3 linked regions of the Saccharomyces cerevisiae S288C genome follow. Changing the gene in region 3 together with the main gene of any one other region gives a genetic interaction. Each region holds a gene or a part of one and is shown on either strand. Other genes may lie near its edges.

Evidence for each region. Genes that interact genetically often act in the same process or in processes that back each other up.
Region 1: mutations in SKN7 (region 3) and RIM21 together harm fitness more than expected from each alone (negative genetic interaction), as found in Saccharomyces cerevisiae (3 studies listed by BioGRID).
Region 2: mutations in SKN7 (region 3) and RIM20 together harm fitness more than expected from each alone (negative genetic interaction), as found in Saccharomyces cerevisiae (3 studies listed by BioGRID).

The regions. Positions count from the first base shown.
Region 1 is NC_001146.8:78,159-81,935, forward strand, and holds RIM21 (Rim21p), read right to left. Parts: upstream 2,103-3,777; coding exon 501-2,102; downstream 1-500. Other genes in the region: MRX6 (Mrx6p), read left to right, coding at 1-362; Rab GTPase-activating protein MSB3, read left to right, coding at 2,482-3,777. UniProt on the Saccharomyces cerevisiae protein: Required for the proteolytic cleavage of the transcription factor RIM101 in response to alkaline ambient pH. Required for growth at alkaline pH.
Region 2 is NC_001147.6:838,584-842,995, forward strand, and holds RIM20 (Rim20p), read right to left. Parts: upstream 2,487-4,412; coding exon 501-2,486; downstream 1-500. Other genes in the region: MOD5 (tRNA dimethylallyltransferase), read left to right, coding at 1-377; CAF20 (Caf20p), read left to right, coding at 2,750-3,235; uroporphyrinogen-III synthase HEM4, read left to right, coding at 4,234-4,412. UniProt on the Saccharomyces cerevisiae protein: Required for the proteolytic cleavage of the transcriptional repressor RIM101 in response to alkaline ambient pH, which is necessary for sporulation and invasive growth.
Region 3 is NC_001140.6:511,041-519,446, reverse strand, and holds SKN7 (kinase-regulated stress-responsive transcription factor SKN7), read right to left. Parts: upstream 6,716-8,406; coding exon 4,847-6,715; downstream 1-4,846. Other genes in the region: CRG1 (S-adenosylmethionine-dependent methyltransferase), read right to left, coding at 1-10; branched-chain-amino-acid transaminase BAT1, read right to left, coding at 734-1,915; SET5 (S-adenosylmethionine-dependent methyltransferase), read left to right, coding at 2,962-4,542; serine/threonine protein kinase SCH9, read right to left, coding at 7,610-8,406. UniProt on the Saccharomyces cerevisiae protein: Transcription factor that is part of a SLN1-YPD1-SKN7 two-component regulatory system, which controls gene expression in response to changes in the osmolarity of the extracellular environment.

The sequences.
Region 1 (3,777 bases), on a different chromosome or scaffold from region 3:
CGATATTGTCAACTTTAACAAATTCCAGAGACTCTAAGAAATTTGAAAACAAAATCAAGGCGTATATTGAAAAAATCATAGTGCGGTTATCAGATGAAGTACCATCCACATATTTTTTCCAAGATGGCGTAGATTGTATTATTCAACCAAGTCCGATTCATAATTTCAAGAGAATGCATTGGTTAAGATACACCAAGAGGCACAATACCTTTTGGGGGAGGACTATACATAAGGACGTTCAAGTCAGCTTCAATGACAAGTATGTTGTTACTAGGAGCGGCGTGAGGTATACGAGGTATCCCACTAATTTGAATACACAATTATTGGAAACTGCATTTGAAGAATGGGACTACTATGAGTGATTTTGCATTGAGTACTTATCCACTGCTCTATTATGTGACATATTCGCAATTCGTGTAAATATTATGCATATGCATCTTGAGCATGCATGGAATATATAAATATGTAGGTTTGTTGTAATACTGTTTCTGCTGTGTCCTTCAAATATGGCCTATATGGTCGCTGGTAAAAGTGGCAGAGCTATTGTTATTGCCTTCACTGCCAACTTCATATTCATCGTCATCTTCATCTTCCGCGTTCTCATCGTCATCTTCATCTGAATTGAAAACGACATCCTTTGTCGAATAAATGTATATGCCTGGTTTGTCTAATCCCAACCGTTTCCTGACCATGGCCTTTCTCTGTTTGGTTTTTTCATTTTTCGAGCTGCTGCTATTATTGTGGCCTACGCTTTTCTGGACGATTTGGTCTGTAAAGTATAAAATTTTATCACGCGCATAGCCTAATTTCTTCAGCGCTACATCTTTATAAGTTCCCCTATCATTGAAATGCATTCGATCAATGCTTCTGCCCACTGATATCTGATCTTCTGGGTCGTAGCGTGATATGGTCTGTAAATCACATACTTCCGAATTACTTGACGTATCGTGCCGATCCGTTGATGCGTCCTGAGATTCCCTCCTGGTTAAAGCGTTTTGAACCCTTAAGGCGTACTTGGCAAACCGATAGTCTTGTTGCTCTTCCTCGAAGATAGGTCTTCCCAAAATGCTTTGCGCTTCCTCTTTTCTTTCCAAAACATTTAATCTATCCAGCCACTCCCATGTGATCACGGTCGAAGTGACATAGCATGTCGTGTTAAACACTTCACCCAGTTCCGATATCCATAAGTTCGACACATCGGCAAGGAAGAAACCCGGTAATAGAAGCACCACAAGAATAGTCAATAGCGTAAGTAAACCCATTTGATTGAATTTAAACCACAATTTTTTTTTCTGCCAGATGTGATAAATGACGATTGATGCATATGACGTGGCGATGGCAATACGGAAAAGGTAAACAAATGGCCGCAGAATCTGCCAGTCATTTCTGTGTTTTGTAGTATGGTTAGCAAACGGTGGAATTACCCATAAAATATTTGCGGTTATTGTTAATATCACCCCAATAAAAAAAATTATTCTCTTTTCCTGAGCTCTTTGAAATAGCCTAATGACAATGCCGACTTGGCAAAATTGGAACATTAAAGTAGCCAAGAAATCCAAGACAACAAATGTCATATCATCGGAAAAGATGTGCATAATGGAATGAGCCCGAACGACACCATAGACATTGTGCTCTTTTTCCAATCTCCGCAACACCTTCGTGATAAAAATCGTTAAGTTCAACGAGGCTAACAACGAGGCTATCCTCAGTAGTTGTAGAATTCTCTTATATGCGCGCCCGCTGATATTTATACAGCATATCACAGTCAGGAACACTGTGATGACAAAATTAGAAGTTATCGACAAAATCACAGCATAAATCGCATACTCAGCAGAACCGCCGACATAATCGCTTACTTGAATGAATTTTTGCCAGTCATTGATCACCTCATCAAGATACCTATATGGGGAAGAGTTTCTTAGCACCGTAGATACATAAACGGGCACTCTTTCACAGCAGAAACTCCTAAAAGTAATATCTTCTGCATATACTGCCGAATTGTCATAAAGAGGCAATTGTATCAGCACCCCTGAACCTAGCTTCATTGGATGACAGCTATTGTAAGCAGCCAATTCTTCTGGACTATGTCTCCACAAGTTCATGTTTGCAGAATCGACTATTCATCGAGTGTCTTCCTCCTTATGTGCTACTAAAAACGATAGTCTAAAATGACTGATTAAGTGCGCACAGGAAAGAAGAAAACAGGTAAAGGACACCGAATCTGTAGTACCAGTCTTTTGTCTTTCTTGTAACTAAACGATGTGGGTTGCTCTTCTAAAGTACTTATCTTTACTCGCCGATACAACGGGTTCCATCTTCTCTTTCAATAGCTGCTATTTTTCTGTTCGGGCAGTATCAGAATTAACAGGATCAAACCTCGTTTATGTCACGTAGAAAGAAAGTAGCTAAAAATAGCTAAAGGGACATCTAGAAGCTTTGTAGGAGTCAAAGAGTTGCGCACCCAGAACCATTGTAATTAGCATGCAGAACGATCAACAGAGGTTCTCCCTGCAAAATAGGACGGTACTGGCGCATCCATACAAAAGGCTAGGAGGGGCATTTACGGTGAAATCACCGTCTGTTCCTAACTTTCATGATAAAATGCATTCAGATCATAGTTCTAGCGACTCAGCTCTGGTGAACGGAAGCTTTAGAGCGAATGATCATCGCTCTGTGGAACCAAGTTGTTTGGGCCAAGCATCCCCCTCTGAACATGATGGGAATTTAAGCGTTATTGACCTGTATGGAGACGAAGTGGAATCCCAACGTGCCGAAGGAGAGGATGATGATGATAATAATGGCGATAATGGTAACGAAGATCTGGAGGAAGTGCACAGTGATGACCTCGATTTGGTTCCTGATGATGACAACCGTCAGCGTGTAGAATTGGAGGGTGCCGCTAGTGCCACAAGTGCGAATTCCAATGGAATCAACAATACCCATTTTGATCGATACGGTTTCAAAAAACAGAATAATTACATATCTGAAGCAGAATACGATAAGTGGTGGGTAGAATATTCGCAGTACTGCGTTCGCCGTAAGCACAAATGGCAATTGCTGTTGGAGAAAAGTGGGTTGCCAGTGACCGATGATTCTCCTTCACGATTTCCATCAAAGAGTGAACGGTTAAAAAGGTATGTCAGAAAGGGCATTCCAGCGGAATGGAGAGGAAATGCATGGTGGCATTTCGCTAGAGGGCAAGAGAAGTTAAACAAGAATAAAGGCGTCTATTCACAACTTTTACGAAAGATGAAGCAGATCAAGAAACAAAACCCTAATGAAAAACAAGTTCAAGACTTGGATATTATTGAACGTGACTTGAATAGAACATTTCCGGACAATATACATTTCCAAAGTAGCTTGCATAACAAAGAGGGACCTCCGATTATAAAATCTTTACGCCGGGTGCTTGTTGCGTTCTCTCTCTACAATCCGAAGATTGGCTATTGTCAATCTATGAACTTTCTTGCAGGCTTGCTATTGTTATTTTTAGACGAGGAAAGGGCCTTTTGGATGCTAGTGATTATTACTTCAAGATACCTACCGGGGGTGCATAATATCAATCTAGAAGGTGTTAACATCGACCAAGGGGTACTGATGCTATGTGTCAAAGAATATATTCCAGAAGTTTGGTCGTACATTAAGCCTTCCATTGACCACCACCAAAAAAATAACAAAACTTTTTCTCCGTCAAATAAAAAAGTTTTATTCAATATGCAAAAGAATGAGTTCTTGTACAGACTTCCGCCCATTACTTTGTGCACGGCGAGCTGGTTC
Region 2 (4,412 bases), on a different chromosome or scaffold from region 3:
TGATACCTGACATCAAAGGCGATATATACTTACTGGATGCCACTGACCTTTCTCAATGGGACACGAATGCATCTCAAAGAGCGATAGCTATTTCCAATGACTTTATTAGCAATCGACCCATCAAGCAAGAAAGGGCACCTAAAGCCCTAGAGGAGCTGTTGTCTAAAGGCGAAACTACGATGAAGAAATTGGACGATTGGACACATTATACTTGCAACGTCTGTCGTAACGCAGATGGTAAGAACGTTGTAGCTATTGGCGAAAAATATTGGAAAATTCATTTGGGTAGCAGAAGACATAAATCCAACTTGAAAAGAAACACTCGTCAAGCTGATTTTGAAAAATGGAAAATAAACAAGAAGGAGACTGTGGAATGAAAATATTAGGAAAAAGGAGTTTATCCTGAGTGTATATATCTACATAAGTGAAGCTGGGTTTTGATAATGGAAAGGGAGGATGACAAGCTCAAAATATACTTTATAGATGAATGAGGACAGGTATCATTGGTCTTCAAATGTCAAACTCTTATCAAGCCTAGCTTTTTCTGCTCTTCTTGCTGTATCATATTCCTGTACCTCATTGTACAGATTGCTGGTAGAAGTAATTAAATTTTCGTAAAATGCTGTGCCGGCACTTAAATTTTCTTTCACCTCATCAAGCAGTTTGAAGGAATATCTCAGATCTTCAATATATAGCTCTCTGGGATCTATTCTTACCATTTTCTTTGGTTCAATCCCGCTTCTGCCGGGGTTATTCTTCTTACTTAGGTTTACTTCCTCAATAAGTTTGATATTTTCTTCCTTTGTACTATTAACGTATCTTAAATCTTCGTCAAAGTATTTTAAATGGCCTATGAAAATGGGTTCAAAGTCGACTGTTCCATTTTTTTTATACGATGTAATGATCTTTGGAAGTATTCTATATTCTGAAGATTTCCGCCTCGTCCTATCAATATAATCATTTCTTTCCTGTATGATCATCTTAATCTTATTCGTTAGAGGATCATTAGATTCCGGTAACCTGATCTCTGATCCAATCAAATTTTTATCGATGCTTTGAAATAGTTCATTTGTTTGTTTGTCAATCGCACTACCTTCATCAAGGTATCCTCTCAGCTTTTTTAGTTTTTCATAATATGCTGTGTTAGTAGTTGAAGATTCGGGTAAAGTCCAATTTAAGGTTCCGTGTTTTAGTCGGAGCTGATTGTCAGTAAATGCTTCTTCATTTAAAATTTGCTCAATGTTATCGAGTTGTACCTGCACATTTTTATTATTAATGAGAAGATTATTCAGTGATGCCTGGTAATGACTCAGTTCTGCTTCACTCACCTTTGTAAGCCCTTGTGGTATTTGGAAAGTAGTCAAGGACTCCTTCAATAGTTTATTTAGGGAAGCAAGGGGATTGGTAACACGTTGTTCAACGTATTCATCTTGCCTTTCATTGTATGCTGTGCAATATTCCATCACTTCTATAGGGATTAGGTCTTTGAATAAAGTCTCATCCTTTTTAATAGAAGGCAACAATGTTGCTGAAGAAGATGGTTTAACCATGAGAGCTGGTTTGATCGATGGTAATTCCGAAGGAACTTCTTGTAAGTAGATGAATTCATTGTCTCTTTGGGCTTCTTTCAGAGAAGATTCGACAACAGTTTTAAACTTAGCTTGCGAAGATAGTGTTGATTCATTTATAAATTGCAATCCCATTTGCAGAGCTTTCACAACATTTCCGAACTGCTTCTTCTCATTAAAAGATAAGGCTATTCTGTAATAAGTCACCGCACTAAAGTAAGCCTTTTTAGCCTTTAAGTGGTTTATCCAATCACTTCTAATAAGTTTCCCCCTTTGGGCGTCATTAATAGCCTCGCAGTAGAAGTCCACGATCTGTTGTGACAACTTCGCGATTAAGGAGTCCTTGTGTTTATCTTGCACGGCTTTAAACCAGAAGCATTCTTGCGCTTGTGCTAGCATCAGGGAGGTTAAAGCGTTCAATGTGGCGTCATCTACCACTGGGATTGTCTCAAGATTTTTTTGGTGGTCTAAAACATGTTTAAAGCATCCGGCGGCATTCTGGAAGTACAGACATGACGTTTTGAGGGATTCGGCTGCATCATTGTTGCTATTTAGAGCCAACAGTGAATACATGCAACCAATATTATAAATAATGGTTAATTTTTCCCATTGTAATGAGTATTGACTAGTACCACGAGATTTTTGTGATAGCGTTTGAAACCATGTAAATTCTATTTGATTATTGGGAAACTTTTTCTCTAATTGCAACAATATTACATAGTATTCCTTCAGTGCAGAAAGACCGTCGATTGAGATATCGGGTGCAATCGCATTGTTTCTTGCATCAACAACTTTGAGTATGTCTGATTGGAAAAAGGATGCCGTTTGAAAGGAAGTAGTATCAATTAGTTTTGACAACTCCGTGGCAAAGTCCACTTCTAAAGTTCGCTTAAGTGGAATGGCAAGCAGTTCACTCATGTCACACTGCCTGGATCTCCATAGATAATAATACTCTCTCTGCAAGGGTATAGTAGTGTTTTAATAAGGCTTTATAGTCCCTTTTCTTATGCTATATTATAAAGCCGGGTAGTAGCGAGGCTTGAATATCTCTTTTCCTGGACGAAAAATAGTGAAAAATTGGAAAAAGTATTTGGCGTAAAGCATATTCTACCGATTGCGATAGACATTATTTGAGCTGTAACCTGAATATAGGATTAAGAACTTTTATTTAATTTCACGACATGATCAAGTATACTATCGATGAGCTTTTTCAACTGAAGCCAAGTTTAACTTTGGAAGTTAATTTCGATGCGGTGGAATTTAGAGCCATCATTGAAAAAGTTAAGCAATTGCAACACTTGAAAGAGGAAGAGTTTAACAGTCATCATGTTGGTCATTTCGGTCGTAGAAGATCTTCCCACCATCATGGTAGACCAAAGATTAAGCACAACAAGCCTAAGGTTACAACCGATTCAGATGGTTGGTGCACATTTGAAGCCAAGAAGAAGGGTAGTGGAGAAGATGATGAAGAAGAAACAGAAACCACACCAACTTCTACTGTGCCAGTTGCTACCATTGCCCAAGAAACTTTAAAAGTCAAGCCAAATAACAAAAATATTTCTTCCAACAGACCTGCTGATACCAGAGATATTGTTGCGGACAAGCCAATTCTTGGTTTCAACGCATTTGCTGCTTTGGAAAGTGAAGACGAAGACGACGAAGCATAAGTCATTCGCTCATGCTTTCTTCAGGCAGCTGTACGTGTACTATGTATAAATTTTGAATAACATTTTTTTTAATAAACAGTTTTTACTCTTTTAGGTTACTTTCCAGATTGAAAATATACAACGTGGTTACATAAAGAAATTAAAATGTAGAACGAATCATGACCAACTGTATCAGGTGTTTAAAAAGGCGAGGTGAAAGAGAAAGGCTTCCCCCTCTAATATCAACAGCTGGAGATACATCTTTCTAATAATTAATCTACCATGAGCCGTACGCACTGAAGCAACGCCCATCAAACATCCGAAGCCACATTATGAGTACAAAAGAGGCTGACGTTAATAGGAACTCATGGTGTAATTTTGCTTCACTTTTCTGAATTCAAATGGAAATAGAAGTAAAAATGGGCAGAAAAGTTACCTCATGCTTTAAATATACTCAACTTTTCTCTACCGACAGTAGGAGCCCTAAGAGATAAAGCGAAAAATTTTCACAGCGCGCTCCTTGGTGCGGCGAGGGTATAAAAGGCGATTTCATTTCAATTCTTTGAACTTACTTCATTTGCAGGATCCTTCAGGATAAGAAAACCATCATTCAATAAACTGATCTTCCGGATTACCATGCTTAAGACATCACGCCTCCATATGTCTATATAAAGCGCAAATGGCTGGAAGTAGACCAATTTTTTTTGTTCCTAGCTTTTCATTATTGAAATCTAATCCAGTTTTAATGGTTTTTCTTAATTAAGAAAACAAATTATCATTGGTTCGCTCTAGGTGTACATATCTTCACTTCATTACTCTCTTGTTTACATTGTATACATCGTACATATACTTCAATTATGGAAATACCATAAATTCTCTTAGTGTGTAGTTCACTAGTTTTTGGGGTTGGGTTGTGCTGTAGTCAGCTAAGGCGCTTTAGTGAACTTTCTAGTGAGTTTTTTGAATTTTAGTGTCAAAGGATAAGGAAACAGAAAGGTAAAATAGACCTTGCTCGAGAGATGTCTAGTCGTAAAAAAGTCAGAGTATTACTGCTCAAGAATAAAACTGTCCCCATTGATAAATATGAATTGGAGTGTAGGAGTAAGGCGTTTGAACCCATATTCGTACCGCTTATTAAACATACACATGTAATTCAAGATTTTAGAAATGTTTTGAATACCATCCCAAACTATTTGAA
Region 3 (8,406 bases):
TTTTAGGCATTCTGGATTCTTCCATTGACAGAAGACTGGCTTTGAAGATGTACTGAGTGTAAAAGGGTTAACTTGAATTTGCCCCTTTAGTTCGTGCCGTTTGTTTATGTTTATATACGTTCCCTTGGGGCCGCTAATTAGAATGCTAAATATAGATCGTGGAAAACTTTCACTACAAAGCTTCTCGTTGTTGTGTTGGCTGAACATATACTAATGAACTGTTTAAATCAGGATTATGGACCGGTGAGGGAACATAATCATCTCTTCATGCCTGAACCTGTATGCCACGATGATGGAAGGCATACCATTATTCATACTGTACTTGCACCTCTTCTGAACTACGCTAGAATTTATTCTTCAGAAAATACCAGGGATATCCTTATAGATTTTTTTTTTTTGGCATAATCAACTCTCTTGGGTATCTTGCCGCATTCATTTTACATGTAAAGTCCAGCGAGATACCTTGGCAACTAAATTACAAGCAGTCTCTATGAAATTCAATAATGTGCCAAGTTGTTAGGTCAACAATTTCAAAAAGCGTAAGAAGCCGCACAATGGCTTGCATAAGCTATAATAATAATAGTAATCCAATATTTCTTATAATAAATAAACTCAACAGGAATTGTAAAAAAGTATGTATCTATGTGAATAAAGTGAGAGAAAAACAGATCCTCTGAGAGGAATTCTCGTTTTTTTTTTTTGGGGGGGGAGGGGATGTTTACCTTCATTATCATTAGTTCAAGTCGGCAACAGTTTTTGACCAGTTACCATAATTGACTCTACCGTATTGGATATCAGCAATCCATTGAGCAACTTGCTTGGTCAATGCACCACATTGTTCACCAGGCAATAGTGGAACATGAATATCTTCGTTGTTCCAGCCAATTTCCTTGATAGGTGAAACGACAGCAGCAGTACCAGAACCGAAGGCTTCTAATAGTTCACCTTGTTTTGCTCTAGTGGCGACTTCAGTAATAGTGTAATAACGCTCGTTGATGTCCCATTCTTGAGGATCTAGTTTGTCACGAGCCAATGTTAAAACAGAGTCTCTGGTAACACCTTCTAAAATGGTACCATCTAATGGAGCGGTAACCAATTCCTTCTTGCCAGTGACTTTGTTGAGGAAAACGAAGAACACGTTCATAGTACCAACCTCAGTGATGTTCTTTTCTGGGCCGAACAACCATAGATTTTGTTGGTACCCTCTTTTGGCAGCTTGTAGTTGAGGTAAGATGCATGGGGCATAGTTAGCACCCAATTTTTTGTCGCCAACACCACCTGGCCAAGCTCTTGTAGCATAGTCTGTTGCTTCAAGACGTACGGCTTTGAAACCAGTCTTATAATAAGGACCGACTGGAGAAGTAATAACATAAAGAAGAGCCTCGGAGGGAGTGCCAACACCTAAACCCTTGGATGTACCAATCATTGTTGGTCTGATGTATAATGAGTAACCATTACCTTGAGGAACCAAGTGTTTATCTTGTTCGATCAATTTCCCGGTAAGTTTGATCAATTCTTCAGATTCGAAAGTTGGCAAACAAATTCTAGCGGCAGACTTGTTCATACGGGCCATGTTCTTATCCGGACGGAACATGGTGATAGTATTTTGAGGAGTTCTGTAGGCTTTCAAACCTTCAAATAATTCAAATGCATAATGGAATACACAAGCAGATGGGTCAAGAGAAAGATTACCGTAAGGCTTGATGTGTGGAGTGCCCCACCCTTCTTTGGCTGACCAAGGAATGGTCAACATATGATCGGTGAATGTCTGGCCGAACACTAATTCTTCATTTGGTCTTGGCTTGGATGGATTTGGGTTTCTAGTAATTTTTAGTTTGGATGCATCTAATGGGGCACCAGTAGCGAGTGTTCTGATGGAGAATTTCCCCAACTTCAAGGAATGTCTCTGCAACATGTTTTAGTATGCTAAGGTTCTAGCTGATTTTGCGTTTATAGGGTGATTTATTCTAACGAAAACATGTAGTTGTTACCACTAGCTCTCTTTATAGTGCCATTTTTTTCAGATGCTTTTTTTTTTTCAAAGCTTAAAGGCCGGTACCGGCAAACACAATAGAATTTTGAGTCATAAGAAGGCAATATGGATCGGATGGGCCATTAAACAAAAAGAGAGCCAATTCATCAGTAATAATAGCGACAGCCGGTATGAAATCTGCACAAAGTATCAACCGCCTGGCCTCTATCAGTAAGATCATTCAATCAACCGTACACGCGGTACTTATCCAGCGTTAACATTTACGCTTTACAGTTCAGCTAAAAAAGAACACATTATCTAGTTAATGCCTGGGAAGGCCCTGGCAAGATACACTTTATCTAAATTATCTACTGCTCGCAAGGCAATGCTATCAATTTGAGAAGTGCAGAAGGAAATGCCATCAAGCTTGTGGTGCGCATTTCACTTTTAAGGATAATAACAGAATTTAATGGCTTGATATGGACGGGCGGTTTGCGAGCCTTACTATTGATAGGAGTATTCGTCAAGTCCAGGGCGCCAATGTGACTTATCGCGCTGTGGGTGGGTAATTCTACCTCAGTTTGCTTCTCGAGGAGTTTGTAGCATAAATCTCGTTAGAATAGTCAAACATACGGTATCTTTCTTTCTCTTGAAAAATTAGTACAGTCTACAAGTTTTCCTCATTGGCTTTCAGACGAGCATTTGATTGTCAAGTACTTTCCGGACCACCTGCGATAGTTTCCCTTGTCTACTTGAGCAGATATGCTCTTACTGACTAGCAAGAATGATAACAAATTTTATCAGTAAACCCTTTCCTTGCCGTAATTTTTTTTATTTTAGCTTCGTAATTTTTTTTTTCGTATTATTTTTCTTTTTCTTTTTCTTTCTTGATATCATAATCATGGGGAACTTCTCCATATAACAATAGAAGCTAAATAGGTAAATAACCAAGCGTGCACTGATACAAAATAACGAAAAGTGGCACAAAAATGACATTGACTATCAAAATAGGAACCTTAAACGATAGCGATCAATCTGCAGTGCATAATGGTACAGAAAATGGCTCTGATTTTCGAAAGATAACTCCCACAGAGGAAGAGATCTGTGATGACGTAGTTTTGTTATGGAAGGAAGAGCCCGGAACTGAAGACGCTACGATTCAGCATCTTTATGACAGGATTACGGAAAGAAATCAATCGTGGAAATTGAGTGCTTCTCGTTTTCGAAAAATTCTAAATGAGCACCATCTTTATGACACAGATCTAGAGACCGTTTCTCTATATAAAGATAAAATACATTTTCCAAAAGCCCTAGATTCTGATGCTAAGGTCGAAGTGAAATTTATTGATGACGAACATGGAAGGGGCCTTTTCGCTAAAAGAGATTTTTCCAAGGGCCAAATCATCCTGAAAGAAAATAAACCTATCGTATATATTCCACCACTGGACAAGCTTTTTTTAATATCTAATGGAAAGGCATGTGCTCGATGTGGTAAGGCGCTATATGATTTGACCCAGCACAAAATTATGGTCCATTATTTGGATTGTGAAGTTTGCAAAGCTATTTGGTGCAGTGAAAAATGTAAAAAAGCACATGCGTCGTTACATGAGCTTTTATACCACTCATGGAGATCGAATAGAATAGACATTCTTCATGCTGGTAATTGGAAAAGATTTGTTAACTACTGTGAGAAATATTGTTTTACCGCTGCCTTTTCAGTTGGTCTTATATATGGATCCATGCTTTTGGATACTACAGGAGAGGTCAAAGAGCAATGGCAAAAATTGGCAAGCATCTCACAAAGGGAAAGAATTAAATTAAGAGACGCCAGCGGTATCGGCAGTACGTTTAGTTTACTGAATGGTACAACTGTACATACTGAAGAGGAATCTGATAATGGTACCAAAAAGGGCGTTGAGAAGAATATTGATGACGAGACTGTTTGGGAGAAGTGCTACGAATTATTTTGCGGTGCATTTCCAAAAGCTTCTGAAGAAATAGATTTCGAGAAATTTTTGACCATGATCGGGACGTTCAATATCAATCAATATAACGGCCAGGTATATCATTGGATCTCCTTCATAAACCATGATTGTGAACCAAACGCCTATATTGAGCAAGTAGAAGAACATGAGGAACTGAGGTTGCATGCAAGGAAACCAATAAAGAAGGGGGAACAAATACGTATTACGTACGTCAATCCCTTACATGGGGTGAGGTTGAGGCGTAGGGAATTAAGAGTTAACTGGGGCTTCTTATGCCAGTGTGACCGCTGTCAAAATGAACTATCTACATTTGAAAGAGTTCCAAATCTAGAGAAAAAGAATGCGGATGCTAATTTAGGAGTAGAAAAAATAGATTCCAATGATAGTAGTGAAGATGGCTCTAAGAAATCAACTGGTAATCGTAAATCTTCCATGAGAGAGGCCCAGCCAGATTTAAAAGAAATACTGAAGAATGGAAAAGAATTTGAATTAGACATACCAGAAACTGTTGATACACAAGGGAATGTAAGAAAAACCTCAGTCAGATTCGATTCAAACGTTTCGGTCGCAGTGGATGAAAGATAAGAGATAAACGCATACTAAATTACTGTGTCTGTTATTGTTTTTGGCTATATATATATATATATATATATATATATAGTAAATATAAGAAAAACAAAGAAAAAAGAAATGAGAGTGAATTTGAGAGCGGCAGAAAGAAATAAAATTCAAACATTTTGATGTAGATAACTGGAAATAACTGAAGGGGATAAAATATTGAACGAAAAGAAAATGATAATCCTCCAAGATCACATAATAAATATAAAGAAACTCCTCAGGAATACAGAATGTCCTCTGCTAACTTAGACGCAAGGCTATTTGTAAAATTTTATGATAGCTGGTTTTCTTGAAGTGTAGATTGTGGTAATTGCGGAGTGGAACCCATTGAGGAATGTGGTACAGTGTTGATTTCATGTTCCAAATTCGGTATGGCTACGTCTGACCTAGCATTAGCAATGGCGTTGTGATGCTGCTGCTGCTGCTGAGCATGGAAAATTTGATGCTGCTGTTCTTGTTGACCTTGTTGAACATGCTGTGCAGAAGATATAGAGGCACCTGGGGTAACAGGGGTAGTAGTTGACGGATTATCTTGTGGTAACATGGCTAACGACTGTTCATTAATCGTATTAGGATTCGAATTAGCAGTATTGGTGTTGGAATGAGTTTGTGGCGAAGAGTTGCGAGGTGGTAATTGCTGTTCGCATAAAGGAATACGGTCCTTTAGATAACGTATTAAAATTGAGTGTAAATCATCCCTCGTGAATGGTTTGGCCAAGATATCATTCATTCCATGTTGTAAGTATGTGATCAAGTCTTGATTCATAATGTTACCTGTCATGGCAATGATGGGAGTCTCATTATCAAAACTTCTGACAATGGATGTCGCTGTGGCACCATCTAGGTTTGGCATAACAATGTCCATTAAAACCAAATCATACCTATACTTCTCTAGTGTTGAGATAGCTGAAAGACCGTCGCTGACAACTTGGACAGTACAGCCATATTTCCGTAAAAATTTTGAACACAACTGTATAGACACTGCGTCATCTTCCACCAACAGTACATGGAAACCTTTTCGTAGCGTGACTGTGTTATTTTGAGCATTTGGTGTTAGGCTATTCTGATCGGGTAAATTAGGTAGTTGTAAGGAAACTGTAGATGTTGCCGGAGAAGCATTGTTGGTGTTGTTGTTGCTTTGGATAGCTGTTGTTGTTGCTGGGTTGGTATTACCAGTTGGGTTACGGTTTCCATTGTCGCCAAATATTGGCACTTCAATACCATTATTTGCCAAAGTGGAACACAGAGTGTTGAAGTTGTTGAGTAAATTTTCATTTATGGTCTTGAATGTTATCAAACTTTCGATAACCGTATTGTATTTCGAGTTCAACTTTTGTAGTTCTACTTTAGTAGCATAACTCTCCATTTTGGACATATCCAACTCCTTTTGTAGTTTGTCTACTCGCCTTCTTAGATTTCCAAATGCATCTTTACTTACGGTATTGCTTAACAACAGCTCTGTGGTGGATTCATTCAAAAGAGACCCAGAAGGATTGTTGGGGTTAGTGCCTTCACTATTGAAATGCAAAAGAGCCTTTTGAGATTCATCCAAAAGCACTTTCCTTTGCGCCGGAATTTTCCTTTTGATGTTATCGAGACCTTTTCCGTAATGGACTCTAAATTCTGGATGCTGAAACTCCCAACTTTGTTCGCCATATTTACATCTCTGTCTTTCCTCGGGACTTCTCTTAACCTTGTGAAAGTCATACTTGTTTAGTTGCCTTACAAAAGATGCAAAATTTGAATGTTTGAAGTGATTAGGCAATATATGCGTAGTGAACTTTCCTGTGTCCAAAACGACGAAACTTTTGCCGTTCTCAGTCCAAGTTACAATGTCAGGATATTCATTGTTTTCCAGTATCCTGAACAGTTTTCTTACGAACTCATTTGCTGGAGCCTTTGCTCCCGCATTAGCACTGCTGATATTTGTGTTTCCAGCTGGTTGTTGAACGTTATTAGTCTTGTTGTTAATGTGCAGCATGTCAGAAGAGTTGTTTGGCTGCATCGTGTTCATCAGTCGAGGCCCGCTCTGCAACAAGTCCATTCCTAAAAGGTCTGCAGTCGAACTGTTCTCGGTGGTGTTATTATTGCTATCGCCGGTGGTTTTATTGACGTTGCTATTTATGGTGGAAAAGCTCATAGTGGATATCAAAAGTAAGCAACGAAAAAATAGGAATAAGAATAATGGAAACAAAGAGAGGATAAAAAAACTTCTATAACAGTCCTTTAATAATACAGCAATTTCGTTGCTTTTTTGTTGGTCTTGGAAAAAACAGAATGTCCTCTAATGAGCGAGTTAAATATATGACCCAAACAAAAGCAGCAAGCCTAGGTAAGATGTTGGAAGATAGTAAGGTGACCAGGGATATCTGTGTAATGTTAGTAAAACTTTGACAAATGTTTCAGATCCTGGAAGCACTTTCAATCTTGTCACATTCGATGGGATGACAGTTAAGCTCAGTAAAGCTGACCACATTTTGCTCATAGTTAAAGAAAGAAAAAATTCAGAATTTCGGAAAATCCATGTACGCGCATCGATGAGCCCTGCCCTCACTTATGGCATCCCTATTATAGCAAAACCCTGCTTATACTTGTGTTAGCCCTACTTTTAATCGACTTTAAACCTATGCATTTAAGAAAAACTTTTTTTTTTTTTTTTTCGGATGATATAACCGACCTATAATTTCCGAACCGACTTTGGGAAATCACAGCGAAGCGTTTACTTAAGCCCTGATTATATATAGATGAGGGGTAAATATGTCAAAGTACAATGGAATGGTGAGGTATAAGCAGTGATTATGAGACGTGATAAACTAGAAATTTGCAGGAACAATTATTCATTTTTTGGAGTTTAAATAAAACGAAAATACATACATACTTTACATATATAAATAGAAGAAATGTTTCGATAAAGTGGGAAAAACGATTAGAAGATACAAATTAATAATAGAAGTAGAAATAAAAGATAGAAAAATTAGAAAAAAATAAAAAGAAAAGGAAAAGAAGAGGAAGGGCAAGAGGAGCGATTGAGAAATCATATTTCGAATCTTCCACTGACAAATTCGTCATCCATGTGTTGGTCGCCGTCGAAGTCCATCTGCGAATGGCTGTTGTTCATATTTTTCTCTTGGTTGAATCCATCATTGATGTCCTCGTCCCCGTCATCATCGATGACATCTTCGTCTGGAGGTAAGTTTGGATTTCCCGGGATAAAGGAACCAGGTTCCATAAAGTACGAGTTTTGTAGGAATTTTCTGTTGTTATTAACGTGTTCATCGATGGCGGACTCATCAACAAAGGTGAAACCAGCAAACTTTGCTTGCATGGCTGGAGATAGCGGGGTAGCAGTCATCATCGGCTGGTGCTTGTTCATGTATGAAGTTGAAGCTGTTGTGAACTCTGGGTCAAAATTCGAGGTATCCGTCTCCGAGACTAGGTGAGGTTTGAAAGGTGGTGGAATTTTTTTCTGCTTCAAGGCCTCCCAGTCGATATCTGCGAAAAATGGATGAGCTCGTAGTTCTCTTCCATCATCAATGGCACCGAGTCTATGTTTGGGGTTTCTGTTTAGTAAACCCTTTACAAAAGACCTCCCCTCTTGTGACAGTACGTCTCTGGGGAATTTGACTTTACCAAAGGCAATTTTTTGGTACATTTTTTGATTATTTTCCGCAAAGAAAGGGGACCAACCACAACACATTTCAAATATCAAAACACCTAGAGACCAGAAATCGACCATTTTGGTGTAGCCGGTTTCGTCCAGTAACAATTCTGGTGCCAGGTATTCCGTGGTGCCGCAAAATGTGTTTGTTCTATCCTTCAAGTCAGCTTTAG